Bombyx mori: one gene and its partners. Each later gene encodes a partner of the first gene's protein in a complex. Links are inferred from orthologs where the notes say so. Each region holds a gene or a part of one and is shown in the gene's direction. Other genes may lie near its edges.

What was found.
Region 2: eIF3c (region 1) and eukaryotic translation initiation factor 3 subunit E share a complex: the UniProt entries of both Drosophila melanogaster proteins name them as parts of the eukaryotic translation initiation factor 3 (eIF-3) complex. The link is inferred for Bombyx mori from reciprocal best matches to the Drosophila melanogaster genes eIF3c and eIF3e.
Region 3: eIF3c (region 1) and eukaryotic translation initiation factor 3 subunit F share a complex: the UniProt entries of both Drosophila melanogaster proteins name them as parts of the eukaryotic translation initiation factor 3 (eIF-3) complex. The link is inferred for Bombyx mori from reciprocal best matches to the Drosophila melanogaster genes eIF3c and eIF3f1.
Region 4: eIF3c (region 1) and eukaryotic translation initiation factor 3 subunit J share a complex: the UniProt entries of both Drosophila melanogaster proteins name them as parts of the eukaryotic translation initiation factor 3 (eIF-3) complex. The link is inferred for Bombyx mori from reciprocal best matches to the Drosophila melanogaster genes eIF3c and eIF3j.
Region 5: eIF3c (region 1) and eukaryotic translation initiation factor 3 subunit A share a complex: the UniProt entries of both Drosophila melanogaster proteins name them as parts of the eukaryotic translation initiation factor 3 (eIF-3) complex. The link is inferred for Bombyx mori from reciprocal best matches to the Drosophila melanogaster genes eIF3c and eIF3a.

The regions. Positions count from the first base shown.
Region 1 is NC_085122.1:5,757,913-5,764,102, forward strand, and holds the start of eIF3c (eukaryotic translation initiation factor 3 subunit C), read left to right. Parts: upstream 1-2,152; 5' UTR 2,153-2,287; exon of another isoform or gene 2,288-2,391; intron 2,392-2,556; 5' UTR 2,557-2,580; coding exon 2,581-2,673; intron 2,674-4,939; coding exon 4,940-5,354; intron 5,355-5,449; coding exon 5,450-5,826; intron 5,827-5,910; coding exon 5,911-6,190. Other genes in the region: gastrula zinc finger protein XlCGF57.1, read left to right, coding at 1-58; soluble NSF attachment protein 29, read right to left, coding at 1,153-1,950. UniProt on the Drosophila melanogaster protein: Component of the eukaryotic translation initiation factor 3 (eIF-3) complex, which is involved in protein synthesis of a specialized repertoire of mRNAs and, together with other initiation factors, stimulates binding of mRNA and methionyl-tRNAi to the 40S ribosome.
Region 2 is NC_085111.1:12,362,637-12,369,082, reverse strand, and holds the start of eukaryotic translation initiation factor 3 subunit E, read left to right. Parts: upstream 1-2,951; 5' UTR 2,952-3,012; coding exon 3,013-3,108; intron 3,109-3,192; coding exon 3,193-3,309; intron 3,310-3,753; coding exon 3,754-3,921; intron 3,922-5,205; coding exon 5,206-5,328; intron 5,329-6,124; exon of another isoform or gene 6,125-6,263; coding exon of another isoform or gene 6,264-6,446. Other genes in the region: uncharacterized protein LOC119628513, read right to left, coding at 858-943, 1,275-1,506, 1,589-1,669; zinc finger protein 280B, read right to left, coding at 6,264-6,446. UniProt on the Drosophila melanogaster protein: Component of the eukaryotic translation initiation factor 3 (eIF-3) complex, which is involved in protein synthesis of a specialized repertoire of mRNAs and, together with other initiation factors, stimulates binding of mRNA and methionyl-tRNAi to the 40S ribosome.
Region 3 is NC_085124.1:489,697-496,100, reverse strand, and holds the start of eukaryotic translation initiation factor 3 subunit F, read left to right. Parts: upstream 1-2,436; 5' UTR 2,437-2,491; coding exon 2,492-2,600; intron 2,601-2,867; coding exon 2,868-3,014; intron 3,015-3,936; coding exon 3,937-4,160; intron 4,161-5,411; coding exon 5,412-5,690; intron 5,691-6,404. Other genes in the region: DNA repair protein XRCC1, read left to right, coding at 1-63, 140-312, 584-789, 904-1,029, 1,345-1,482. UniProt on the Drosophila melanogaster protein: Component of the eukaryotic translation initiation factor 3 (eIF-3) complex, which is involved in protein synthesis of a specialized repertoire of mRNAs and, together with other initiation factors, stimulates binding of mRNA and methionyl-tRNAi to the 40S ribosome.
Region 4 is NC_085125.1:12,540,997-12,546,750, forward strand, and holds part of eukaryotic translation initiation factor 3 subunit J, read left to right. Parts: intron 1-458; coding exon 459-600; intron 601-4,304; coding exon 4,305-4,469; intron 4,470-5,536; coding exon 5,537-5,676; intron 5,677-5,754. UniProt on the Drosophila melanogaster protein: Component of the eukaryotic translation initiation factor 3 (eIF-3) complex, which is involved in protein synthesis of a specialized repertoire of mRNAs and, together with other initiation factors, stimulates binding of mRNA and methionyl-tRNAi to the 40S ribosome.
Region 5 is NC_085122.1:3,668,072-3,673,825, reverse strand, and holds part of eukaryotic translation initiation factor 3 subunit A, read left to right. Parts: intron 1-95; coding exon 96-325; intron 326-1,707; coding exon 1,708-1,900; intron 1,901-2,629; coding exon 2,630-2,734; intron 2,735-3,810; coding exon 3,811-3,940; intron 3,941-4,863; coding exon 4,864-5,066; intron 5,067-5,636; coding exon 5,637-5,754. UniProt on the Drosophila melanogaster protein: RNA-binding component of the eukaryotic translation initiation factor 3 (eIF-3) complex, which is involved in protein synthesis of a specialized repertoire of mRNAs and, together with other initiation factors, stimulates binding of mRNA and methionyl-tRNAi to the 40S ribosome.

The DNA.
Region 1 (6,190 bases):
ATTGGAAACTGTTGTTGATAATACTTTCTTCGAACAAGTATTTGATGCAAATATGTAAATTACTATCTAGAATTTAAAAAACTAAAGAAAATAAAGCATTTGTGATTTGAAATATATTTATTAATGGAAACAATATAAAATAAGTATATATAATAATAATGACTGTTTACACTTATCGCTAGGTTCTTGGATATAAATGAAATTATTGTTAATGGCAAACATTAACTCATTGATAACAATATTAGTATGTATGTACCTTACTTTATGATGCAAGAACATAATTCATGATGAGGTGTCTGGAACTTTCACCCATTTAAAATTTGGATTAGTTAATAGAACATAGGTACTTAAAGTAAGTACTCACCTTATATTGGTTGTTTTGCCCTAATATTGTTTTATTTGCACACAAGTCTTATTTATATATATTTAAGTGTACTTAAAACTTTATCTTAAAATAGTGAAACCTAGCTATTATACTGTAACTGTCTCTAATTGCATGAACAACAATTAGAAACAAATAGAAGAAATTTGTCATGATAAGTTGCTAGCCAAAAAGATAACACATTTATTTAAAGATTACAAGATAATTTTTTTTACTATATACTGTGCACAATAAAGTTATGAAGAATGAATGAAGGTTATGATGATCGAATATGATACAGAAAAGGTTTACCTAAATAATATGAATCATACACCATTTTATTAGATGTAACTAAGTGTACATGATCAGCTAACAATGGACAGTATCACACAAGAACCATTATTACATACTATGAAGCTTTATAAAAATGCCAGTCAGCTCAGCAGTGGTGACGAATGTATAGAGCATTAGTATGCAGTAAGAAGCCTTTCAGACAATTTACATTACTAGTAGGTTTATTATATATGGATTTTTCCTTTACTATGAAATCCCCTTTTTACACCATGTTGTTTATCAAATTGCTGCTGGTCATGTGATTCAAATAAAAAATAATCTTATCAAACTTTGCCATACATTAGTATTCCTTATCACACAAAATGATTACACTACTGAATTTTGCAAACCACTCACATTAAAAACATGCTAAATCTTTATAAACAGATACATTTAATAGATTAATAGACCCTTTTAGTTGTTGTTTAAAATAAATCTTTAATTTGCTATAATTATTGCTATTTCCCAAGTAGTTTATTCATTTGTTTATTTTGTTTACCAATCTTGATATCTGCAATCTCAACTTTGTCTTGAATAGTATCCACGAGGTTGTTTTGCTGTTCTATCTCTTCACCAAGTGCAACTCCTAGATGTTTGAGCCGGGATATAGCATGCACCATTTCATCCAAGTTCGAATCAAGTATATTATTTACTCTCTCGTTTTCTGTTTCAGGACTCTTAGCGCTTTCTTGAGACAAACCATGTAGGCGTGCTGAGGGATGACTCTCAAAGCGATCTTCAACGTTCCTAGACATATTATCTAGGGTTTCATCAAGCCTGCTACTACTTGTACCAGCATTACGTACATTCGAGGTCGCTGGACTTTTAGATGGTGTTTGATCACTTTTTCCGGAAATATAATTCTTCAGACCATAAAATACAGACTTTATACCATTTAAATGTTTTTGACTATAGTTTAAATTGGTGTTAATCTCATCAAGTCGCCTGTCTGTGTTCTGTAGCTGTTCACGTTGTCGGGAAAGCTCTTCGGCCGTTGCAATACCAATTTGTTCAGAATCACGAAGCAATCCGATACTTCTCGTTGATGAATCTATTGTCCGTTGTTCGATTTCTCTTTGTGTTTGGATCATAGCTTGGCGTTGACGTTCCAGTTCTGCAATATGACCTCCATAAGGCTTATTTGCTTGCTGTGTTTGAGGTATTCTTGACCGGAAGCGATCTACAAATTCGTTATCATCGACGTCGTCATTTTCGAATAGGTTGTTCGGATTTGTGAAATATTTATGCCCAGACATTGCTTAAAATGTAATTTACTACGTAGGTGTGTTCTCGTTACTTTATTGGTGATGTTCAAAAAGAATGCACTTGAAATTATGGGGGTGGTAAGCACAGATAATACACAATTATTATGGTAGGTATGTACCATAAATGTTTATTTTAGGTTTAATTTATCTGATACGACGAGCAAAGGGATGTAGCCAAATAAAACGATTTTTTTAAGTGTCTGTCTAATTGAACAAAAAAAGTCAATATGCCACGTTCCCTTTGCCTTTCCAATTGAACAATTGAAACAAAGTTTAGCTCTTTGATCAACTTTGATGCGTTTGACGTATGAAGTGAGTCGTGGGCAAGGTCTGTATTTGAGAGCTTTCTTTCTATTCGCTACAAATTTATTAAGTCTATCATCAGAGGATTGCTTGAAAACTGAATACCTACTCTGTTTTTAATATAAGACAGTAAGTATTGTAAAAATGTTAAACAGTTCTAATTTATAACCTCAACGCGAGGACAAGTCAACTATTTATTACTAATTTTGATGTTTATTTAAGATATTTAAGAAAATAAATTACCATTGGAGTCAAATAATGTTCATTTGGAATTAACGAAGTTTTCTTTTACAGAAGCATTAACTAACTCTTGTAAATATGAGTCGTTTCTTTGCAACTGGGACGGACTCGGAGTCAGAGAGCAGCAGCGAGGACGAGCCAGTAGTACGCGCCCCCGCGCCAGTTTACACGGTAAATTTAAAATAAATAATTGGGAATCAAGGAAACAAAATTTTCAATTTATAGTTTAAAAAAAGATAAATAGTTTTTTAAGTTACCAAGGGAGACTAACATTAATCTCATGTAGGATGACAAGATATATGAAACTTTTTTTCGGTAATCAGCAATGCAATTAGCAAAATTTTGTAACTCTTTTAGAAGTTTTGAAAAATGTGATCCTTTAAATTCTTTCCTAAATGTCCACTATCAGTAGCTAATAGAGGGGGTAGCGATCAATAATGTATTTCTGCTCTGCTCGCAATCTGCTATTGTGCCAGCTTACAGCTTTCTAACGACTTGTCCAAAAAATTGAATGGGCAAAGGGAACAGCCATATTTTGTAATGATTGTGAAATTATTTTAATTATAAATTTTATTTCTTGTATTCAGTCATCTTTGTAAAATATGGTATAATATTATTAAAACATTTTTAATTCATAATAAATAAGGTATGACATAGGATTCAACCCATGTTAAATTTAAAATATCTGAAAAAATCCCACAAGTTACATCTTGGCAGGACAAAGGGTTGCTCGTGCTACTCTTTCGTTCCTAAACTCTTAGTAGACTTGTTGGTCAACTGGCATACTGCTTGAAAGATAATTTGGAGTAATATAATAATATACATGGATAAATAATTTAATAGTAACAATAGTAAGCCACTAAAACTTCTATTTATTTCAATTATGAGTTTAATAAGTGCATCTAGTGATTGGCATATCAATTTGTTATTAATTTGTCTTGACTTGTATAACAAGATGCTTTGATTCCGGAATAGTACAGTGATGTGAATTAGATATGTGTTGTTCAATCAATTTTAGAGAATCAGATCAATACTGACCTGTTGACAAAATGATCCGGTTCGTTCGACCCGTTCAGTCAAACGTTTGGATTTCCGTTAATCACACCAATTTATGATGTGATTAATATTATCAGGTCACTGGCTGAATGAAGTTTAGTATTGAATAACAGTTTAAAGGAACTGTTATAGTTCGATTGTTTAGGTGAGATAAAAAAAATTCAAATACGTTATGCGTCATTATGCGACAGCGAACGTCTAACCGAGACGGGCGCGGGGCGAGACCCGGCAACCCGAAATGACCCGAATGACTGTTGCATGGTTCTTTTCTTCTGATTCGTAGGTTTTGTTAAACGGGTCAATCTAGTGAACGACTCATATTTTTTGAAATGTTCGCGCGGATTTTGAAACCCGGGTCGTTTGGTTCGTTCGTTGGCGAACGACACATATCTAATGTTAATTGTAATAAACATTAAACATATGCTTCAAATTTTAAAAAGAAAATGATCAGACTAAAAGTTATAAATTGATTGGGAGATAAGAGTTGCTGTGTTTTTTTGCTAATTTTTTTTTTGTTGTCATCTTTTAATATTGTATATTGTTAACAGATTAAAAATCTTAAAAGTGCGCCATTGTGGGAAAATTCTACAAGATTATAATTACAATTCACAATATTATTATAGTCCCAAGTCATTTCAGTAAATTGCCTCTATTTTGAGGTATGCACTCAGGATAAGTGAACAACAGGAAGGTTGCGTATACTTGTGTAAGAAGAGCCTGCGCTACCACGGCATGCATGTTTTACATGTCTTAGTTTTGGTCTTCAAATGATGATTATTCGAGTATTGAAAATTTCTTCCATTATAATATTGCGTTAATAAAATCAACTGGATAGTTATTTCTTATTAACACTAGCTTACTAACAACAGCTCTTACCGAGCATGGTTGTAACTCTAGTTAATGTTCTATTGTGATACATTAACCTCTCCCCAGTGCGGTGTCCTCTGAGCGGACTCCACAGATACGTGAAATGTCAAATCACATTTATCTATCAACAGGGACCCGTCCGCTCAAAGGACTTCAAACAGACGCGGCCAGTGGCGGCAACAGTGCCGCGTCCGCTCAGCGGACTTCCTATATTAAGGGCTATTACATTATTTTACTAGAGTTCTCGTTCTGAAGTACTTTCAAAATCGACTAAGCATGAATAGGTTCGCCTTATTACATAAAATTTGTTTGGTCTGTGGTACAAAAATTTTTCAAGATCGTTGATTTAGTTGGTGGCAATTTCAAACAAATTAATACATGTCTATTTTACATCTTTAGAATTATAAGCTTAGAATAATAATTTTTTCAAATTTTATTTAATAATTCAGTCAACTGTAGAAGAATATTGAACAAGAAAAGTACAATTAATTATAATTCTTTATATTGGCAACAGTTTAGTGACGATGAGGAAGAAACAAAGCGAGTTGTGCGCTCAATGAAAGAGAAGCGTTATGAGGAATTAGAAGGAATTATACACTCTATACGCAATCATCGGAAAATCAAGGATTTTAGTTCAGCATTAGCTTCTTTCGAAGAGCTCCAAAAGGCATACACTCGAGCCGCACCGGTTGTTCAAAAGGAGGAGAATGGAGTTGCTCCTAGATTCTTCATAAGAGCTCTTGTAGAATTGGACGATTGGGTAGTAGGAGCATGGAATGAACGTGAAGCCCGAAAAGCTCTATCAAAAGGAAACAGTAAAGCTCTTACCTCACTAAGACAGAAACTTAGGAAGTACACTAAAGATTTTGAAGCTGAAATATCCAAGTTCCGTGAAGATCCTGATCTACCCGATGACAATGAACGTAAAGGTAAGCAAATTAAAAATAAACGAAAACTTAAATTACATTCTTCAACACTACTTCATATTCAATGCAAAACAATTAATAACAAACTTTGTTCATAGATTCATCATCATCAGATGAGTCTGAAGATGAAGAAAAACCAATTAAAGAGAAGCCTAAACCCGAGCCCCTTCTTCGTCCACCACCAGAAGATGATGAATCATCAGATTCTATGGATTGGGCTTCTAGTTCTTCTGACTCCAGTTTTAGCTCTGATGATGAGGAACGTGGTACCTCCAATATTCGTGAACAATTCATCAAGAAAGTTACCAAGAAAGAGGATGATGAAGAGAAAATAAAACTTAAACTAAAGAAACGTGAGGAAAGACGTGAAAGGTCTGGTAAAATCAATAAACGCGACGTAGCTGATGATGGTGGTGAATGGGAAACAGTCAGAAAGGGTGCGGCGACTTCTGATAAGCCTAAAATGTTCGCTAAAGTATGTATATTACAATCTCCTTACTTAAATATTCAATTAGTGATACATAAATTAAGCAAATTTTTTTTGTTACCAAATTTTTAGGATAGTGATATTGATGCTGCACTTGTCGTGAAGAAACTTGGTGAAATAAGCGCAGCCAGAGGTCGAAAAAGAACTGATCGTCGTGCTCAGTTAGAACTTTTACATGAGTTGCGTACTGTTGCGCTTCAACATAATTTGGGAGATGCACTACAACTAAAACTACGCTCGGCCATCGTGGCTGCCCTCTTTGACTATAATCCTAAAGTCTCTGATGCAATGAAACCGGAATATTGGTCAAAACTGGTTGAAAATATTGATCACATGGTAACTCTTCTTCTGG
Region 2 (6,446 bases), on another chromosome or scaffold:
CTTGCCAGCCACCCTGCACAGATCATCACTCCACCACTTCACAGTTTCGACTCAAGAACATGTTTACCCTAACAGTTATCAGTTGTCCGGCTAATATGGGTATATAAGTTGGAACCGAGCAGTGAGCACCGTTATTGTAATGCAGATAGTATTATTTATTTTGAAGATGAATGATTAAATTGATTTTGTTAATTTTGATAAATTTTTTACTAAAAAAGTAAATAGTACGAGGTTAGACTTTTGAAACTCCTTATTTTATTTATCTACATAAGAGTCATATTTTGCTTACTATCTAATAAATAAAGTCAATGTGATTATGAGTTATTTATTTAAATTATTTTTCACTACAATCTCTTGTAGCCCGATTATATTTTTTAATATCTTCTGCAGCTTCCCTCTCAGCCTTTGCTTTTAGATATACTTCTTCTGCTGCCTTCATCATCCACTCTCTTTCCTTTTTTTGGAATTGAAAGAGTTCATCTTCTCTTCTCTCTTTCTTTTCATAAGATTCTTTTCTAAACTTAAATTCCTCCTGAATTACCCTGGTGCGCACATTCCCTCCTGTAATTAAATAAAATGCAATTGTTATACATCTATATTTGTAACATTTTAGTAATCTATATAATGTATATTTATGATTTTGAAGTGATGATAGCTTTAGTGGTAATTAAGGTATTAAGGGTGGTTTCAAATCCCACAATTGGATTGAGCTACTATAGTCGAATTATTAATTAGACTGAGTAAAATGTGATAGTCAATTCATCTGATTCAATACAATTAAGGTGAAGTTATAAAAAGATATTGATATATTTAGATTAGATTTACAAATTGCATTATTTGTGCTTTACCCTAACTAATTAATATAGATAGACACTCAGAACTTCATCATTCTGTTGTGGTTGCGCTACTGCTGGAACTGATGTTTCAAGCTCCATTGCAATATCTAGAAATAAAACAATAAAATCTTTAATTATGTATGGTAGAATAATAGTGATAGTTGGAGTAGAGGAAAGAATTTTAAAGTAATATTGTTCTTAATCAGAATGTGGTATATTCATTATGATTATTAAAATGGTTTCTTGAGTGAAAATCTTTATCAGGTATTGTCACGCATATTATTTATCTAGTTTTTAGCACAGTAATACATGTAGTTCGACTCATATAGATATATAACAATAATCAAAAGACCCTCCATGCCACCACGTTCTTACTGTTTTTTGTGAGAGAGCATGTGAGATTGAAGCACTTATCTCAAATTTTTAAGATTCACTTACCTTCAGAACTGTAAATGGTATCACTGTCAATGTCACCCCTGAGTTCCACATCAGTCTGATCCAGTAGAACCTCAGCAAAAATAAGGGTCTCATTGCTGCTACCAGGCTGTGGCTCATTTGGAACACACTGTCCGCCACCAGTCTTCATTCTCTGACGCTTTTCATTAGCTAAAAAGTGCTTCCTCCGTGTTTTTAAATTATCCCAGCACTTCTTGAGCTGGGCCTCACTTCGCTAAAACAAATGATAAATAAGAATAGCATGGTATATATAGACAAGTAAAAATCAGATACAAGTAATATAAATAAATATCTACCTTTGCATTTGATTCAATTGAATTGAATTCTTCTGTTAAATGTATCCACAAAAGTTTTTTTGTGTTTTGACTAGCTGTCATGGTAGCAGTTTTGTGCAGATTATATTTTAAAATTAATTCTTGTAGGCAAGGTCTTCTCGCTTTCGCTAAATACTTGCCTGGACGTCATCATAGAAAAACTGAAACGACAAATAATTTACTGCATCGTAATTTCACGTAAAATCTATAAAAAACTTTGCTTAGGCAGTGAGTAATAAAGGACAAAAATATTTAACTATTTGAGTTAACTTAAAGTTAACTATTTAATAAATAAAACACCACAATCATAACTTACCTGAATAATAAACCGGTGGTTGTGGAAAAGCACTTCAAAAAGACGATGCAATCAAATTCAACAAAGAAACAGCGAATAAAAATACAAAGCCGGGTTCCTGGAGGAGCTATTATTCAAAATCCGAAATCTAATTTATTAATCATGGGTTAGAAAAACGAAAACCTTCTATTTCACCGCACGCGCACGTATTTATGAGTCTCTCAACTAAAACATCAAACAAGTTCGATGCGTCTAGTGTCAAACAGACAGTGGTAGCTTGACTTTGACATTAAACAATGACCATAAGCTACAGAACTCTTATAGGTTTGATGCTAGCTTGATCAAATTTTCCTCAAACTGATGTTGTCGTGGTGACGCAATAGCACCTCTCTACCTTACTCGAGGACAGTTGAGGAATATTGTAATGGTCGACTAAAAATACCAAACTCGAGTAAGTTTGGGAGGAATATTCGAGCATCATCGGATGAGTTTAGAGTGGAGGACTATTTTACGAAACGTCTAAAGATACGGGCATAAGACTTTTATGTAATGTCTTATTTTAATTTACATTCTTATTTTTATGAAAAATGAATTGATGATTAATTTGAGACATTAATCAACTGGGATGAAATCAAATGAATTTATATGATATGGGATGAAATATAATCTCAGTAAAATGGTGGTGATTTACTGAGATTTTTTCAGTGGACTTTTTGGAGGATCCCGAGAAGTTACGTTCATTGGCTTTGTTTCATTTTCCCACATTTGTGCACTTTCACAGATACTAAACAGTTAATAAACCACCGTTACTATACATTTAAACCTGAAGAAACACTAAGTAGACAAAATAAAACAAATCACACAACTTCACTCCTCGCGTTCCCGCTAAAAAGTCCCTCAATAAACAAAATATCATACTACGCCATAGATAACATTTTAAATATTTGTCTACTATTGACTTTGGCTTACTCTGTACTCAGTATATTTACTGTGGACGTAGCCTAAAGTGCTTTCCTTTTACTACATACTATTTGTAGATTACAGGTTGTTGGTTTCTACCTACTACATGTGTTTCCATTTTCATAAGAATTCATGAAAATAAACTATCAACATGAGTTACTCAAAATTTGATTTAACGTTTAAAATAGGACAGTATCTTGATCGGCATCTCGTGTTTCCTTTACTAGAATTCTTAGCAGCAAAGGAGGTAGGTTATGTAGTCAAGTTTTACAAAGTGTTGTCCGTTTCATTCTAAAAAGCAACTGAAAGGCTTAAAACCAAATACTTTCAGACATATGACCAGTCAGAGCTCCTGCAGGCAAAGTTGGAGATTTTGAGCAAAACTAACATGATAGATTATGTTACTGACATCAGAAGAATGCTCTATCCTGAAGAAGACACTCCTGAAGTAAGAATTTATCTTTAACAAATATATTATTTGTCCTAAATTAACTTTATTTACGGAATGATGTTTAACACAAATTATTAGAGATGCTGACATCTGACTATGTATGTATATGTATATGTGTTTAAATACATAATTATGACAAGAATAATTGAATATGCAATTTCGAAAAGGGCACATCTCTGAAAATGTAAAATGTTCAGGAGATGAAAAAAAACTGATTATTTTCTAAAGCAGTGTAAAATTTAAAATATTAACTTTTGAGATACGTTTTAGTGTTAATTAGCAATTGAAAATTACTGGAATTATTATAAAATGGGTGTAGGTAAGCCTCAAAACTACATGTATATGAAAAAACGTATTTGACAAAATATGCGACATGTGACCTTTCCGAAATTGCATATACAATTAGTATAATGACTTAATTAAACCTAAAAGTGATTCTAGGAAATTATACAGCGGAGAGGTGTAGTTCTTTCGGAACTGCAGGAACTTCAAGATGCAGTAGAGCCAGTATTGAGACTCATGCAAAGAGATGATGTAATGAAAACAATTGAAACCATGAGGGATCCTAAAACTCTTATAAACCATCTTTCGACAAACAAGGAGTATGAGGTGAGTCTTTCATACAACGGAAACTAAATGAAAAGATAATTACTAAACTGCCATGCAGTACAGCAAAACAGTATTATTTATTCTATATGAAGAAAGAATAATAACTTAAAATGCTAATTAAATTAAATTGTTAACAATTTTACATACTCTAATAGAGACAGTCCTGAGAAGGGTATTCCCAAATATATATTTCTTTCTTTCTTTTTTATGCCCAATCACAAATTATCAAAACAAAAGAAAACATTATACAAAAGCCGAATAATATAACCGAAAGGCATAGAACACCTCATTCAATTGTTGTACGATTGTAACTTAAAAGTAAAAAGCTTTTCTGTATAAATATTTATCAAGATAATAGCAAGTGTGGGGCATTTATTTTTCCAACCCCTCAATAAGATCAAATTCATTATTCAGTGGAATCTTATTTAAAAGTAAAATACTAAGCACTATTTTGAGCAAATAGCAATTTATGACAAAAAATAGTTGTAAATTAGAAGAGTAATTTGACATGGATTTTGACAAAAATATTGTTATGCCAATGCCAGATTTTTCTTGATATTACTCAAGAATTATGTCATAGAATACTGCAGTATAATATTGAATTTTGCAATAGGGCAGTGTATCAAAATTTCATATTTCGTTCTTCAGAAGAAGACTTTTTTGTGCTAATACAACAAGCAGCTGAGAAAATTCTGCATAAATAATTATAATTTTAATTATTAATATCATATACATTAGATATATGTACACTTTAAAGGAAACATATATACATCCTCTACCTGCCTTAGCTTATGATGTCAGCTTACAGAATTTTATCTTCAGATCATAAATTTTAAGTGGAATATTACCTTGGTTAACTTAATAAATTTTAATGATATATCTTTTAAATACAGTAGTAGAATGTAGTAGAATTGTTATATATTTTTTATAAATCATTGTCTGCCTATTTCTGCCGTGAAGCAGTAATGCGTTTCGGTTTGAAGGGTGGGGCAGCCGTTGTAACTATACTTGAGACCTTAGAACTTATATCTCAAGGTGGGTGGCGCATTTACGTTGTGGATGTCTATGGGCTCCAGTAACCACTTAACACCAGGAGGGCTGTGAGCTCGTCCACCAAAAAAAGAAAAAAATAAGCCTAAAATTGTTTGGTCTTAGTAAACATATTTAGTATATAGTAGATATATGAAATATGTCTACCAGCAAGATATTCAATTTATAAATATAAATCCTTAAATAAAACTAAAAATAAAAGAATGGTTTGACTAATATCAATTTCTATTCCAGTTTAAAATTGAAATGATCGATAGCATGTATCGTTTGGCCAAATATCGCTATGAATGTGGAAATTATGTGGAGTCAGCATCATATCTTTACTTTTGTCAACTGGTGATGTCGCCAACTGACAAGGTAAGGAACAGTAAAAACATAATATGTCATATTGTATTTAATTATCAAATACCTATGTATTATGAAATGAAGCCATTGTTATGACATTTAAATAGACTTGTAAAATAAATTTGTCAAAATATGTATAGGCAGCAATGTATAAAAGCGACTTACTCTGTGTGTGGTATAGCACCAGCTTTTCCCCTAGAGTCACGCGAGATTCGCCAGAGAATGGGCAGCAGTACTCAGCATATTATTATAGTGTACTGATATAGCCTACGAGCATATACTGATAATAGGGGGTATTGGAAATCCTCATGCGTAGTTATCACCGTTTTGGCTACTTCTATCATGAACCTGTTATTAAGTTTTGAAGGTTGGGACAGCTATTCTACAATACAGTTGGGTACTGGTGGTAGGACCTCTTGTGAGTCCGCACGGGTAGGTACCACCACCCTGCCTATTTCTGCCGTGAAGCAGTAATGCGTTTCGGTTTGAAGGGTGGGGCAGCTGTTGTGACTATACTGAGACCTTAGAACTATATCTCAAGGTGTGTGGCGCATTTACGTTGTAGATGTCTATGGGCTCCAGTAACCACTTAACACCAGGTGGGCTGTGAGTTGGTCCACACATCTAAGCAATAAAAAAAAAAAAATTCAACTTCATGTATTAGATAGGTTAGGAATATATTATTATGTAGATATAATATGAACATTGTGATATCTATAGTATCCAGTATCAATAGAGCAGGTGGGCAATGAGATTGTGTACCCATCTATGAAAAAAAGATAAAATGTAACACTTTTAATTTTAAAGATTTATGAAGTTGTAAATTAATATATTTCAGTTCTTATTTCTTGTATTAATTAATAAGAATGTTAAATACTACATCTATTTGTAAGTAAAAAAAATACAATTTATTGCAAGTAACAACTAGCATTTAGGGAAATTGCATATTAATAAACTATAGCATCAAACTGTTGGTGAACTTGTGTTCTGTGGGCTTTTACTTCTGAAAGGGCGTTATACCAAAGACCACATAGCTCACATTGATGAGCTAAAATACTGATAGACGCTTTTATCATTGGCTCATCGGTTTTAATATCTTGAATGATTTTCAGCATGAAATGTTCAGCTTT
Region 3 (6,404 bases), on another chromosome or scaffold:
CGAGGGGGTCGCGCTGGGGGCGCGCTGGGAGCCCGTCTGGGGGCCCGCCTGCACGCATCTCATGTACGTGCCCTCCGACCTCCCGACATGTTGTAATGTCCGTTGTGCCACGTGGAGTACAGCGTCGTGTCGCCGGCAGATGCGCGTTCCCCAACACGCCGAAGCTGCAGGAGGTGCGGCGCGTGGCGGGCGGCGCCGTGCCCGCCGTGCGCGCGGACTGGCTGCGAGCGTGCCGCCGCGCGCGCCGCCGCGTGCCCTGGCGCCCCTACGCCACGGAGCCGCACCAGCGCACCGCACCACCACACGCTGCAGGTTCACGCACCACGCCGACAGTTCGATTGCTCATTCATTAATAAGAACAGACGGACGCCGCTACCAATATTTTTAAACCACAATACAAAATTAATTATTATTATTATTTTTTATTTCCTTTGTAGGCAGACCAGCATACGGCCCACCTGATGGTGAGTGGTTACCGTCGCCCGTGGACTTCAGCAATGCCAGGGGCAGAGCCAAGCTGCTGCCTACAAATTAGGCAAAAATGTAATTAAAACGTAATTTTGACCAATTACTTGTCGTCCAGAAACTGACGAGTCAGCGGACACCGACGAGGAAGTGCGGGACCGCGGCCGGGCGCCGAGCCCCCCCGCCGGCGCGACAGGGTCGAGGGGGGGCAGCGGCGAGCCCGACGTGCAGTTCGTGTGCGACGAACGAGTCAAGGCGTCGCTCGCGGTCGAGTCGGACTCGGACGAGACCGACGCTGGGGCCGACAGCGGCGCCGAGCACGCGGCACGTACACTCTATTACTAACGGATTAGTTAGTAATAGAGCTCGTCCACACATCTAAGCAATAAAAAAAAAAAAAAAATTACTTTTTTTTTAAATATTAAGTATTGTTTCCAGATAGACGACAGCAAGTCGCTGCCGGCGTTCTTTGAGGGAGTAACGTTCGCGGTGGAGGCCGGGGACACACAACTGCGGGCGCGCTGCTGGCGCTACCTGCGGGCCTACGGGGGGCGCGTGCTGCAGGTCGCTCGTGCTGCAGGCACAACAATATGACATGCCCTTCTTCAAACGAGGCTTGTAGAGAGTACTTAACGATAGGCAGCGGCTTGGCTCTGCTCCTGGCATTGCTGAAGTCCATGGATGACGGGAACCACTCACCATCAGATGGGCCGTATACTCGTCTGCCTACAAGAGCAATAAATTTATATTCTTATATTTATATTTATATAAATTTATATTAATTCAAAATAGTTAAAAAATTTCATGATTGTCACATTTCCTCTATGATTGGATAAATATACATATTTTCCTAATTTTAAACAAATGTACATTTTTCAGAAGTCTCAGCTGGATGAGGACAGCCGCGTAGATTACGTGGTGTGCGACGACGGCGCCGCGCCGCGAATCAAGGGCCGCGCCGTCACTGCAGCCTGGCTGTGGAAATGTCATCAACAACGAAAACTGTGTCCAATATAACGACAGCTCAACTTGTGAATTCCTTTCATTAAATAACTGTCAGCTAACAACGCCTTTTCTTTCACAAATCTCAGTAAATGACCACCATTTTACTAAGATCCCATATCATCTCATTTCATTTAATTTCATTCTAGTTGATTAGGGTCAATTCCCACTGAAAGAGCAGCGGCCGGCAGCGTCTTTTTTAGGCAAAATATTACAAACTATTTTGAATCTTATCTACGTGATTAAAAAGTTCATAGTCATTTGAAGGCAAAGGAGGGGTAGCGTGACGTCGCGAGGCTGCACGAGCCTTCTACCGACTAGTCAAAAGAGGCGCCGCGCGGCTGATCGCGGCGCAGCTAGCTGACGTGCGGCCGACCGCGGTGCAGCTAACAGACTCGCGGCTGCGCGCGAGCGACCATTTCATACCCGCCCGCCCTGCCGCTTACGCATTTCGCGTCATTTTATTAGAGGGTATCAAGTTAGAACGTGCTACGCTCCGTGAGAAAAAAATGTACCCAAAATTTTCTTTTCCTTTTTCTTTCCGTTTTGTTTGTTACTTCTTGTTCTTCTTCTACAGCCAGTGCTATGATACATAAATCCAAATCCACCATATTTATTGCCACACAACTTTCCTTGAGTGAAGTAGATCGCACACTAGTTTTCAAAGCTACTACGCGGAGGTTCATTGCGGCGCCTCGGGATGCCGCGCTGCCTCTCGCGGCGCCGCACTGCCCCGCGCGGCGCCACACTGCCCCTTGCGGCGCCGCGCTCAATCACTTGCTCTTACGGCCGCTGCGCGCCGCTGCTCTTTCAGTGGGAATTGACCCTAATGTCTCAAATTAATCATCTTCATTTTATTTCATTTCACTCCATATTATCATTTTTCATAAAAATAAGACATGACTTAAAGGTCTTAATTACCAGTTCATAAAATCCCTAAAAAAATTAAAATTAGCAGAGATAATACCTACAATATTCTCTTGTACTCTGTGTTTCTGGGTTTGTAGTTTTGGTCGAATTAAAAATGGCTCTCAATATTAGTGTGAAGGTCCATCCTGTTGTTTTATTTCAAATTGTGGACGCATACGAACGTCGAAATGCAGATTCTCACAGAGTTATCGGCACCTTATTGGGTTCGTATTGATTTATAAATCATGCAATAACTATAAATTCAAAGGACATTAGTTGTCAACGTCATGTCGTGTACCAAATTTTATGAGTTGTTATTTAAAAGAAAAATCCCTAAATGCTAAATATGTACGTCAATTATCATTACACATTTCACTTTGGCTTTTCCACATCAACGTTATAGTTAATTTGATAAATTCCTTGGTCACATAAGCCAGGTGCAATACAAATGTGTAAAGGCGTTGTAAGGTTATGTTGTGCTGTTGCTGCAGGCACGAGCGACAAAGGAGTGGTGGAAGTAACCAACTGCTTCTGCGTGCCACACAAAGAACATGCCGATCAAGTCGAAGCGGAACTTAATTACGCGATGGATGTTTACGAGCTGAACAGAAGAGTCAATTCCTCTGAAAGTATTGTTGGTGAGCTATACCTGCATTATACTCAAATTCACATATGTAACAATACTCACAGACGCATACACACACAATTTACACTAATTATTATTATTATTATTATTATTATTAATGCTTTATTTCAGTTATTATTTTTTTTTAAAACCATAACATTTTGTTAGTAATAATTACTTATAATCTATGTTAGTAACTTAAAAATCTAACACATAACTATCATTATATTATACATTTTATACCATTATATATTATTATTTTTCTCCTTCCAAGTGCCTACTGCAAAGGCTATTGATCAGCAGTCCCTCGATCTTGCTCGATATGATTCTCAAAAGACTGTTGTCACTGTCACGAACTCGACGCAATAACGATGCACTTCTCTTCCGCATTATTGCAAAGAAGTCATCTGTGTGAGATGTCGCAAACATTGTGGATGCACTACAAAAGCGCGGCAGTGACAACATCATCCTAAACGCATTATTATATTGGACACGTAGGGCATTGTAAGCTCTCCGCGTGTATGTGGTCCACAGACTACTGGCGTAAAAATTCTGGCAATAAGCTTTAAAAATTGTAAGTTTGACATAGCTATCGCAACCAGTAAATCTGCGGGCCAGCATGTTGCATCTTACTATCAACTAATTGCCACATCATCATCATTTTCCTGCCCTTCTCCGAGTCACCTGGAGTCGGCGCAACATATTTTCTCCGTTCATACTCCTCTATCATAATACCATTTCTTCGCTCATTCCACTCTTACACATATTGTCCTTCATGCAATCCATCCATTTCTTCTTAGGTCTACCTCTTCCACTATAGCCTTCCACATTTATAGTTAACACTCTTGACAATTGCCAATTAATAAAATTGGATCTTTTACTTCCCTTAGCATACCTTATACATTTAAATTCAAACTCATTTGTATTATTTTTAGGTTGGTGGGCGACTGGCAATGAAGTAACCAACCACTCCTCTGTTATACACGAGTATTATTCCCGTGAATGCCGTGAGCCTGTCCATGTTACTCTGGACACTTCGCTGGCTGGAGGTCGAATGGGTTTACGTGCATATGTTTGTGTACCATTGGGAGTGCCAAATGGAAAGCAAGGTTGCATGTTCACTCCTGTAGATGTCACTCTCACATGCTATGAACCTGAGGTAATTATTGAAGATTTTGTACTGTATTCATTGTCAATATTTGCTTTATTAAGCAAAAATATGGTGAAAACTGCTGAAAGGCCATTAAACTCTGACTGTTACAGGTTTAAATTTGTGTTCAAAAGGCTTCAAAATCATGAGCTGTTTTAGACTCAAATTTGTTAATATTTCAATATCCATGAACTCCAAAACTGCATTGTGTGGAATCACATATTGTTATATTGTTAAATAAAAAAAGGGTGCGTGTACTTATGTGCGCGCGTAAGAAGTTATACTTAATTTTTATTAATTTTTTTTTTTTAATAATCATAAATTAATAATAAATATTTAATGTTAATAATTTAATAATGTTTAGTATGAATTACAGTCAAACCTGGATAAGCGAGAGTTAAAGGGAGCACAATCTCATTCTCGCTTATAGAGGTTTCTCACTAACCCGAGTTTCTCCCTAATGAACCCTCTGAATGTCATTTCGCGATTTTCCAGATTCAAACGCATTCACTATTTTAAGTTTATCACTTAATGACAGTACTTTAATTTTCCGTTTTGACATGATGCAGAACAGATTTTTCCCTCGCGATTGATTAACGATAAACTGAGTAAGTCTGACAAACAGGACGGTACACCGGGACACGTGTCCATTCGAAAAGAATGCGATAAATTAACAACGTTATTTAGTTCCACGAAATAGAATAGGTTCTATATTGACGAGAAAACAATACAAAAACAATGTTAAAAAGTTCCATGAAATTTAAGAATGGGTCATAAAATAGCAGATGTTAAATTTGTAATTTGTTTTGTCATTTGTTCCTCCTAAATAATATTATTATAAATAAATAAAGCTCGACTGTCGCTTATAGAGGTATAGACAAGTAGCAGTCTCACTTACGGAAGTCCATAAGGGAAAAAACTACTCTCGCTTACAGAGGTTTCTGTCTCTCGCTAATAGAGGTCTAAGAAGCTAAAAATGACGGGTCCTGGCTATTACTCTCATTTATAGAGTTTTCTCACTTATCCAGTTCTCACTTACCCAAGTTTGACTGTATATTAAAATCCCTTATTAATCTGGTAATTCCTTATTAGCAGGAAAGGCCTGAGCATATTAAAACGCATTACTGCTTCACGGCAGAAATAGGCGGGGCAGTGGTACCTACCCGTGCGGACTCAAAAGAGGTCCTACCACCAGTAAAAAACCTATCTAGAGTTTTAATGTTTTGCGGCATAGAGTAAACGTTTGCTTTGATTGATTAGATTGTAGGTCTACAAGTGTGCCAGAAGACTGTGTCTGGTGGAGGTCGCGGGTCGAGCGGCGTGGCCGCGGGCTCGGACCTGGCGCAGGTGATGTCGGCGGCGAGCTCGCTGGAGTCGCTGCTGGAGCAGGCGCTGCAGTACGCGGACGGAGCGGCCGCCGGAGCACCGGCCGACGCGGAGGCGGGCCGTGCCCTATTGCAGCTCGCACATTCCGCACCTGACCTTGCCAAGGACACCTTCTCAGATGCCTTCGCCTCCAGCGTCAAAGATCTGCTCATGGTAAGTTCACACTCAACCACTCTACCGTGCTGTGGGCTTAACTAGAACATAATATATGAGTAAGTATAAAGGATGGGACGGTTTCTGGACATCTTTCATGAACACTGACATCCAGGCGAGACTATGAGACAATTTGTTAGCTGATCTACTTGTGTTGCTAATGGCAATTACTTACACAGGGACTATACAAGTGCCTATGATTATTCATCCAAAACTTGTGCTGAAATATAGTTTTGTCAATTCTGCTGTCCCTCATCAACAGTACTAATGTCAGCCAGTTCTTGAACATTACCTTTATATAGTGCTGGGTTTGATTTACCATTTGCTTTTAAGCATAAGATATCATTAAACTCACAATGATGCATGCAGACTGCATCATAACAGTGAACTTTCAAATAGTATCAAGATATAAAATGTCACCATAGATTTCTTACCAACAAAAACTACGTTTTCAGTAACTCTTAGCATAATGCTGTGTACATTTTGAGTCGAACTACACATATTTGAATGCGTGGTTGGCCAATAATGAATCACCTTAAAGCTGGATGTTGTGCACTTTCCTGGGCATAGCATATGCAAATATTTCCCATTCATTATTATTATTGCCTTCCATAGTGACAATAATTATTAAGAGTCCCTTTTCCAATGAATTACATTTATTACACTTGAAGTGTACAGCGATAACAACAGAGATCTCCGCTCCGTTCGACTGCT
Region 4 (5,754 bases), on another chromosome or scaffold:
GTTGGAAGTGCTTCAATACTATTTACCTTCATCCTCAATATCTCAGTTTGAGACTTGATCTTGCCGCTTTATGCAAAGTATGGATGTTACACACTTTATGTTGATGGTGTTGCTTGATATCACCTCTGTAGTCCTGGTGGCATAAAGCGTATTGCTTTATTACCTTATATACAGCGATCATTGTGTGCAGACAAAGGTCATGTGAGGCCCTGACTCTTTTGCACAGCATTCAACACCCTTTGCAATTCATGAGGAATTTGTATTAAAATTTTGTATAGGGTATGACAATATTAAGTTAAAGGTTAACTTACATCATGTTTGGGATAATAACCAAATCTAAAATACGATAATTCACCAGAAAAATGAACATAGTTTCATAACTTCATAGAATTGACAGGCTATAGTTGCTCTTGAATTGATATAATATCCATAATATTTAAATTATAAAATTTTACTAGCGACAAGAACGTGAGAAGGCTGAACGTCTCGTGACAGAGAAGACTGCAGAAGAAATGACTCCAGAGCAGAAGTTGGCTGAGAAACTTCGCCAGCAGAAGCTACAGGAAGAATCAGATTTGCGACTAGCCATGGAAACCTTTGGTATGCTTGATTGATTTGGTGTGCTCGTATTACAGTTTGTGGATTCCAAAATAAGATTCATTTTAAGCAATAATTAGTAGACATTCTAAAAGAGGGTTTATAATCCCTAATATAATGAAGTTGTTGTGGCCTAATGGATAAGATGTCCGGTGCATTCGTGTTGAGCGATGTACCGATGTTCGAATCTCAGGCGGGTACCAATTTTTCTAATGAAATACGTACTCAGCAAATGTTCACGACTGATTTCCACAGTGAAGGAATAACATTGTGTAATAAAAATGAAACCCGCAAAATTATAATTTGCGTAATTACTGGTGGTAGGACCTCTTGTGAGTCCGCGCGGGTAGGTACCACCACCCTGCCTATTTCTGCCGTGAAGCAGTAATGCGTTTCGGTTTGAAGGGTGGGGCAGCCGTTGTAACTATACATGATACCTTAGAACTTATATCTCAAGGTGGGTGGCGCATTTACGTTGTGGATGTCTATGGGCTCCAGTAACTACTTAACACCAGGTAGGCTGTGAGCTCGTCCACACACCTAGCAATAAAAAAAAAATTTAAAAAATTGTGGTGAAGTGGATTATTGTGAGCCCTCATAAGTAGGTATTACCACCCTGCTTTTATCTGTTGTGCAGCAGCCATTATGCTTTTATGAGATATCAGGCTTCATGGCTGCATGTTAAATCATTGGCATCATGCATTGAACGTTTAAGATTTTAATGACATATCTAGTTTTCAATATCTCCATAAGAGAATGATATTTCTTCTAATTATGATCCTTAAATTAATTTATTTTGTCATATGATCTTTTTAGAGAGTTAATACTTACGTAAAGTGTTAATTGTATGTGAAAGTGTATTTAAAATGGGTGAAGTATGACTTTTCTTGAGTAGATGGGTGAACTAAATCTAAATGATTACAGGAGCCTACAAACATAGTCACATAAATGCCACCACCCACCTTGAAACATAAAGTCTTCATTGAATTGTGTAATAGCTGTTCAAATCAAAAGGCATGACTGCTTCACGACAGAATTAGGCAGGATTGTGGTATCTACCTGTGTGGGTTTATGTTGTGCCTTTCTTTCATTAAATGTCAGTTGACAATCATAGTATGCTGATTTTATACAGAGAATACTTCTACCCATTCTCTGGTGAAATCCTTAGTTGCCTTTCACAACATGCAGAGGAAAATAAGAAATATAAATACACTGCTTTTTTATGTTTACTGGTTGTGGTGTAACAATAGCATTTATTATTGCATAAATTTGAGCAATAATAATTATTCCTCCAATAATTAATACATTATAATAACAATATAGAAAAAAGTCTACGTAGCGCACAAAACACCCAAAAACACACTACTAAACCTAGTGTAATATCAGCCTATACTAGGAAACTCATGGAGCGGAGACAGCAACTACATGTAACCAAACCAAAAACAAGAGCATTGAAAAATGAACTAAAAGCTTTATATAAACTCATAAGTAAGAACATAAGGAGAGACTACATGCTCCATCGATCAAAAACATTTGAAAAACATATACTACTGGGAGCATTAAAAAGGCGTACAAGGAGCTAATTACCTACAAGCCTTGGATTAAACAACTAAAAGAGTCAGATAAACTATCACATAATAGGACTGATATTATGAAAACCGCAACCAATTTCTACAAAAAACTGTATGATTGTCAAGTCCAAAACTTTACAAATATATCTGTCAGCACCAGCATACAAGTACCAGCGGAAGACGTCTCACAGATAAAAAAGATAGATGATTTAGAAGTTATAGAAGAAATAAAAAAACTTAAAGCTGAAAAATGTCCAGGGCCCGATGGAATCACTAACGAGGCAATAAAAATAGGCTCTAAATATCTTGCACATCCTCTGACACAGCTCTTTAACTCTATATTAGATTCAGGCACCACACCTTTTCAATGGTCAGAGTCGAACATGATTCTACTCTACAAAAAGGGTGATCCCACTGATATAGGCAATTATCGTCCTATCAGTCTGCTACCCACACTCTACAAACTTTTTTCATCAATAATCGAAAAGAGGATTAGTAAGAGAATAGAGGAACACCAACCAATAGAGCAAGCTGGTTTCAGACGTGGATATTCTACAATAGACCATATCCACGCAATTGAACAAATTGTCGAAAAATATAATGAATATCAGAAAACACTCTATGTTGTGTTTATCGATTATCGGAAAGCCTTCGACACAATCCGACACTCTTCTATATGGACCGCCCTAATCTCACAACGCGTTGAACACAAATATATAGAAATAATAAAGTGTTTGTATAACAACTGCACAAGTAGAGTCAAACTTGAGACGACAGGACCACCGATACCCATAAGGCGAGGTGTGAGGCAAGGCGACCCACTATCTCCGAAAATTTTCATAGCGGTACTGGAGATGGTCTTCAGCAAACTAAATTGGGAAAGAAAAGGGCTGAATATTAACGGCAATTTCATCAACCATCTAAGATTTGCGGACGATATTATTCTATTATCTGAAAGTGCTAAAGAGATGGAATCAATGATACACTCGCTAAAAACTATGAGCTATGAAGTGGGTTTGGAAATGAATTTAGATAAAACAAAAATTATGTCGAACAGTATAAAACATCCCATATATCTCGACGAAAAACCATTAGAATACGTAGATAGCTACATATACTTAGGCAAACAAATTTCCTTTGGAAAACAAAACAATGAATTAGAGGTTGAACGAAGGATTTCAGGCGCATGGAAAAAATTCTGGAGTCTAAAAGACATACTAAAGGGAACGATGCCTATTAACTTAAAAAAGAAACTAATGGACACGTGCCTGCTCCCCTCTATTACCTACGGCTGCCAAACGTGGAAATATACGCTACGCGTAAAGAACAAAATCAGGTCTTGTCAACGAAGTATGGAGAGAAGCATTACGAATGTGAGAAAAATACAAAAAATCCCACATAATGTCATACGGGAAAAGACTAAAGTTATAGATGCACTAGATTTCTCACAAAAGTTAAAGTGGCGCTGGGCAGGCCATGTAGCCAGGATGAGCGACGACCGCTGGACCTGTAGACTCACGCTATGGCGGGGGCCTGCAGGTATTAGAAGGAAAGGAAGACCGGTAACGCGTTGGGACAACGATATAATAAAAATCGCTGGTAAAAACTGGAAGACAATTGCCAAAAATAAAGACAAATGGAAAAGTCTGGAGGAGGCCTTCACCCTCACATAAGAGGGGTTCTTGCATGCCTGCATGCTAAATTAATATAACCTTTTTTACATATTTTATGTTGATCCGACTAATATTATACACAATTTATTAAGAATTCTATCATAATTAATATCGATTATTATTAATGTATTATCAACAATTTTTTTATAATTTTTGTAATGTAACTTTTTTTTAAATGCAAGAAATAAAAGGCTTTTTATTTTATTTTATTTTATTATTTATTAATAACAATAAGGCTTTTGAGTAAAATAATAAACATTCATATTCTCATACAATAATCGTATTTTATTGTGTTCAAAACTACTAGCAAATGTAATGATTGATTGTCCAAAATATATATTAAGATTACTTGGCACAATTTCTTGGCAAGTCTTAAAACTGCCTCAAGTCATATGAGACAATGTTTTTATTATAATATGTCTAGTTATCAGATTAGATAACTTACCCATGAAAATGATTACAGGTGTAACAGAAGGTAACATTGGTAAACTTGACAATTTCCACCCAACTACAAAAGAAGAGTACACAGAGTTTGCTGATCTCCTTACAAAGAAGATCACTTTCTATAAAGCCAAGGATGAATTTCCAGGATTCATTGATGACCTAGTCAAGAATATTTTAGTCCAGAGTAAGTAAAATTCATTGTTTATGACTTCATTGATTGTGTTTGTAATTCAAATTGCTGATTTTTGCTGTGAAACAGTAATGCATTCAGTTTGAAGTGTAGTGTAGCCGTTGTACTGCACAATTTAGACTTTCGACATAATGTCTCAAGGAGTATGGCAGCATTCACATTGTGATGTCACAGTAACTGCTTGTCACCAGGTGGGCCGTGAGCTCATTCACCTAATAATAAATAAACATATAGTTCATGCTTAATATGGGGCTTGGTTCTGCTTAATACGTAATCATCATCGTGAAGTAAATATCTTCTCATTGTCAGTGGTGGTCACCAATGTAGAATATGACATTTATAAATGAAATCTTTCATTTCTAGATTGAAGTTAATTCAGAGCAACTCCATTATTATGATTGTGAACTTTCTTTCATTAGATGCCGCTAAAGTGTAAAAAGTCTTATAAAATTTAATAAATTCTGGATTTTTTGTTGCGTTTCGCTATGAAGGGCGGGGCGGCTGTCGTACTGTTAAAAGTGAGACCTTTACATCTCATGTCTCAAGGTGGGTGGCGGTATTTACGTTGTAGATATCTATGGGCTCCGGTAACCATTTAACATCAGATGAGCCGTAAATTTGTCCACCCAACTATGCAATAAAAAAACATATCCAGATTAATCTGGTACGCAAGATCTCATCTAAAGTCATTAGGAAATAAATTTTCTTACTATGCTTAGATCTTTTCATATTACAAGAAATGTCATCTGCTTTTATCTGTTGTGCAGCAGCCATTATGCTTTTATGAGATATCAGGCTTCATGGCTGCATGTTAAATCATTGGCATGATGCATTGAACGTTTAAGATTTTAATGACATATCTAGCTTTCAATATCTCCATAAGAGAATAATATTTCTTCTAATTGTGATCCTCAAATAAATTTATTTTGTCATATGATCTTTTTAGAGAGTTAATACTTATGTAATGTGTTAATTGTATGTGAAAGTGTATTTAAAATGGGTGAAGTATGACTAATATGATAAAGTATGACTGAAGTATGACGAAGAATCTATAATTACAGTGTCATCAGCGGATATCCGACGAATAAAATTGACTGTCGATAATCTATATATTGAAAAACAGAAGGCAGAAAAGAATGATAAAACTAAGAAGGCCACAAAGGGCAAGGGCAAGGCCAAGTTAAAACTTGAAGGGGACAATGTGAGTTTATTTTTTATTTAGTTATCAGTAACTCGAATATCCAGTAATTAAGGTATGTTGTAAGGTTGCGTTTATTAC
Region 5 (5,754 bases), about 2.1 Mb from region 1:
GATGATAAAATACATTAAAACAAATAGATACGAATTCTCCAATATATGCACGCGTACTTAAAAAATTAAAAATCCCTTGACGTGTCTATAATCAGGTCCGCGAGCAGCTGGTCCGCGCGGCGGAGGTGCTGTCCCGCGTGGTGGGCGCGCTGTACCCGCAGCGGCGCGGCGCCGAGCGGGAGCGCGCCCGCGCCGCCATGGTGCAGTACTACCACGAGAACAAGCAGGCCGAGCACCACCGCGTGCTGCAGCGCCACAAGATCATCGAAGAACGGAAGGAGTACATCGAGCGACTCAACACCGTGCGCGAGGAGGAGGAACTCAGGTAAACATTATAATTTTTTTGCTTAGATGGGTGGACGAGCTCACAGCCCACCTGGTGTTAAGTGGTTACTGGAGCCCATAGACATCTACAACGTAAACGCGCCACCCACTTTGAGATATAAGTTTTAAGGTCTCAATATAGTTACAAAGGCTTCAAACCAAAACGCAATACTGCTTCAAGACAGAAATAGGCTGGGTTGTGGTACCTACCCGCACACACTCACTACAATCTGTCCTACAACCAGACCACGTCCGTACTAGGACAGAGCGACTACACAGCCCTAATTCACTATACACTAGTATGATACTAAAGGACTGCCTCCTGCTTAAATCTGTTATGTATATTCAATTCTTAAGAAGTCATTGTAATTTTTGTGCCTCTGAAATAAATCCCATTTGTAACCCTAAATGGTTATATGATGGTAGGCCTCAGAGGTAGATCGTATTGTAGCTAGACGCGACAGAATATACGACACGTGTATAGCCTGTGTTAATGTATGCTTGCACATTTTTTTTCATTTGATGTATCGGCTTTCAATTCCGCTATTATATTTCATGTGTTTTATTGAATTAATTTAGCTAAATTACACAACTACAAAAAAAATTTCGTTCTTTGTCCAAACGTTTATACTAGATTTTTCCAGTTAATTATTCACAAAAACGAAAACAAAAGTTTGCTTTTGTGATAGTTATAGTAATAATACTCATTTTTCAACTTTTTTATAAATTTTTTATTAATTTTAATACTTTAAAAAAAAAACGCGCTATCAAAGTGGGGTGTTTACGTTCACACAGTGCCACTAGATGGCACTCGAGTCATAAACAACGGTCAGGTGTTTTGTACAAGCCCAGAAAAACTTAAAATGTCACGAAAGTGTAAATACGATGCTGATGCATTTTGTTTCATATGTGGTCAATTTATTAAAGTTCAAAAGCAAACTGTTTCATGCCATGTATTATTTTTTCGTCTAATTACGATCTAAAATATCGAAATTTTAAGTTTTGCCATCAAAGTCAAAATTGGTGTTGACCCGTGTTATAGATAGGTTAGAAAAATAAAACAGGTCCACTAAAAGCTTTCAGAGCTATGACGATCGTTAATTAATATTAGAAATAGGACTAAGCAAAGGTGGTAAGTAGGACCTCTTGTGAGTCCGCGCGGGTAGGTACCACCACCACCCCGCCTATTTCTGTCGTGAAGCAGTAATGCGTTTCGGCTTGAAGGGTGGGGCAGCCGTTGTAACTATACTTGAGACCTTAGAACTTATATCTCAAAGTGAGTGGCGCATTTACGTCGTAGATGTCTATGGGCTCGTCCACCCGCATAAGCAATAAAAAAATAATAATAACCGGAACAACTAACGAAATGATTTGACGTATCAGGCGTCAAGAGGAGCAGCTCCGCGCGGCCGCCATCGCCGAGGCCCGCCGCTTGGAGCAGGAGCGTGAGGAGCGCGAGAAGAAGCGCCACGCGTCGGAGCTGGCCGCCATGAGGGAGCGACACCTCAAGGAACGCATGGCGCACATCTCTCAGACCGCGCACGGACAAAAGATGCTCGGAAAACTCAATGAGGAGGTTCGTCTTGTTTACTGTTCTCATTTGCTGCATTAAAGAACATAAGATAATTAAAGGAAATAATCGATAATTATATCTTAATCTTAATTACAATAGATCTCTTTCTAATTAATTTAATTAAAAAAATCTAATATTAAAAAAAAAAAACATGCCCGCTGATTTTCTTGCCAGTTCTTCTCAGGACGCAGGCTAGTTTTTGTGAATTGGCGGTAGTTCTTTTTGACGTTCAACAAGTATGTACTTTCATTTATGTTGAATAAAAAAAATTATTTTTTTTTGATTGATTATATGTAATTCAAAAACTATTTTTCTGAAATTATAAAAAGTCCGGTATCCATTTTTCACGTCAAGCCAAACGCTAACTACACGACACATGATGTCGCATGTGATTAATGTATTAGTGATTCGTCTAGGGTTAACTTACACATTTTGATACCCAACAATGTTACATGAATGTTTAATTAAGTTTCATAGTTTGTGTTAGAATTTAGAAAAATAGAAACATAATTGATTTCCTATGCTTGCCAGACTCGTTTTTGTCGCAGTTCTAATAAAAATGATTTTTCGCATCCTGAGTATTCTTACAACCAGCTAATCCTATTTAGTCTAATATTGGACATTCGTTTTGTCCATTTCCTTTAACACAACATAAGAGTATTCAACAAGGTCAACAAACCTAAATAAAAAAAAAACTTAATATAAAATACATTATTTCACTATTGAATGCAGGATCTTAAGAAAATGGATGCTGAAGCTATTGCTCAGCGGGAAGCTGAAGAACTGATGAAGGAACGTCGCGAGCTTCAGGCTAGACTGAAGTCACAGGAGAAAAAGGTACTGTCAACATTAAAATATCCAGAAATTCAATCTATACATATAAATAAAATTAGAGTGTCTGTTTGTAGTATTGAAATAACCGCTTTTTACTACATGCATATGAATATATATACGGTACATACACCAAAATAACATTTTTTACAATCTTTGTCTGTCTGTCTGTTGTTTGTTCCGGCTAATCTCTGGAACGGCTGAACCGATTTTGATGAGACTTTCACTAATAGGTAGCTGATGATATAAAGAGTAACTTGGGCAACTTTTTGGAGTTTACTCCTTTAGAATCGATTTACATATATAGGCCCGGGGTATGAAAATTATGGGGACCAAAATCGTACTAGCATGTCACACGAAATGCGTTATGCGCCTGATTGGCTCCTGATTGCGTGATGCGTGCGCGCGCCAATCAGGAGCCAACGCGCGGCCGCGTTATCGCAGGTGACGCCGGGCTGCTGCGCCGGCAGTCCGCCACAAAGCCTCGTACTGATCGCGCGTTTCTCTCATTATTGTATTTTCATATATTTGTTAGTCGTTTGTTTTGTGTCTCGTTAATTTGTTAATAATCTGTAGTGTATCGTGTTTTCGTAATATAGAACTATTTCTCGTATTGTTTCGTTTAATTTTTTATATCCAGTAAACTCCAGTCGTGCGTCGGAGCGGACACACACACTTTTTTTTTTTAGACTAGCTTCGCCCCGCGGCCTCACCCGCAGTTATTGTCCTACCGCACGTAACATGGCGGGCTTCGCCTATATCAATAATAAAATTTAATGTTTCCGAAGCGAAGCGAGGGCGGGTCGCTAGTAAATAATAATTGACACGCACTTACCACAAAATGGCTGACACATCCTGTCTTACTTATTTTACATCAACAATTGGTTCAGTGTTAAAATATTGCAACCTTTTTGAAATTCACCACCAACTGGTATGACATGAAATGCTAAGTAAAAGTGTAAACGCTACCAACACGAAGTTAAAATCTTAACATTAATATGTAATATATCTGTGTCTTCCTAACCGAAACTAGTAACACTTTATTTCATAAACGAATTTTCATCAATATAAATAACAAACAGGTGGATTACTTTGAGCGTGCCAAGCGATTGGAAGAAATACCACTTCTGCAGAAGAGCCTGGAAGAGAAACAGGTTCAAGACAAGGCATTCTGGGAGCAACAGGAAAAAGAACGCATCGAACAACTCATAGGTAAGCAAAAAATGCGAAACACTAACACTAAACAAACTCTAGTTGAATTATTTTGTCCGTGCAATTTGGGACATAAATAATCGGAGCGGTGAAGCGAGTATTTCGCTGTCTCTTCCACTCACGGGCCTTATGGACGAGCATAGTGATGCGCATTATTGTTGTCGATAAGCTTTATCGATAGTGTATTAATTTTGTCATTTTAGTGATAAAAATGAAAAAAAATATCACTAATCTTGATAATAATAATAATAAACTTACACTACATATCGCCGCAGCAAGTTAACGAGAACGGCAGAAATTAACACTTTGTAACTTTTCGGGTTCTATTTTCATTTCAGTGAAAAATTTTAAAACATTGTTGATAACAACACATGCTTGTGCTGGTATATTTTTGCCGACAGGCAAAATATTGTTTTGAATAAATTCTGCCGTTTTGGTACAAAACAAAGAAGTAACCATTATGTCACTAAAGAAATTCAGAGAGTGAATGCACAAAAACACATTTCTCTTCGACATGTTATGTACTATAATTTGCAGGTCGGTGCAAATGACTCATAACATAACAATGTCTCACCACCTTTCGTATACCACCCCGCCGCCGTGTACCTGCCTTCGATGACTCATTTGTTTTTATCGATAATAGCGTAGGGCCCGCGCCATGTGGTCACCACCCTAGCCGGGCTATGACTTATAACCCAAACTGCGCCGACAAAATAGTTCTACTATAGTATTTAAAAACAAATTGAATCCAGCAGAATTGAGTTTTGCAATCCAGTGCTTCGAATAGGCGAAGGAAAAGCTGCGACTATGTAATATGTAATTGTAAAATGTAAAAGTAATGTAATTGTGACTACACGTCGCTGCACGTCTCACTGGATGTGACATATTGTCTTGCCACTAATTATACAATTTCCTTGCCTCAGAGGCTCGCGCCTTAGACGTGGCCACGTCGGAGCGCATGTCCCGCATGGCGGTCCACCGCGACGAATTCATGGCGCGACTTCGCTCGGAACGTGGGGCCGCCTACGCTCAAAAGGTAGCCGCTTTCAACGAGAAACTTCAAGCCGAGAAGGAAAAGAGATTAGCTGAGAGACGCGCTCAGCGAATCGAGAAGAGAAGACATGAGGTAAAAGATTGATATGATTATAACCTACAGCCGATCTTTGGAAAATTTCAATAGACGTTGCATTAGATTGTCAGACAGTTGGTTTTTAAATGAGTACAACTCTTATATGTTCCAACAACACCATTGTTCCCGATAATGAAGACTAGACATGCACATAAAAATTTAATATGTTACCATTAAAGCAAAACTAATAAATTTCTGATATGAAGCCGTCAATGCAAAAGTGGCCTAAGCTTACCATAGTTAGTATGAAGATAATGAGGTTCGAATTATCCTTTACAATACTAATAATATAATAGGCAAAAAATACGCACTAAAATGATGTTTACAAAGGAATCTGTTATCTATGGATGAAACTAGGGATAGGCAGATTTTGCATCAAAATTTATTATATTTTAAATAAATTGCAATACGTAAGCACAAACTATTGCGCTGACTGCCTCATATATGAATGATATCCAAAGTTACGAATGTACTAGTATTCAATCTTTTCAACGTTCCGTTAGCTAAATAATTTAAACTTGTAATGTAACAAGAATATTAAAAAGAAAACTAAATTTATTATTGCAGTGGATAACAGAGAAGCGTCGCGCTGAGGAACGTGCGGCTGAGGAAGCTCGACGCATCAAGGAAGAGGAAGAAAAGAGAGAAAGGGAAGAACGAGAGAGGAAACAGCAAGAAGAAATGG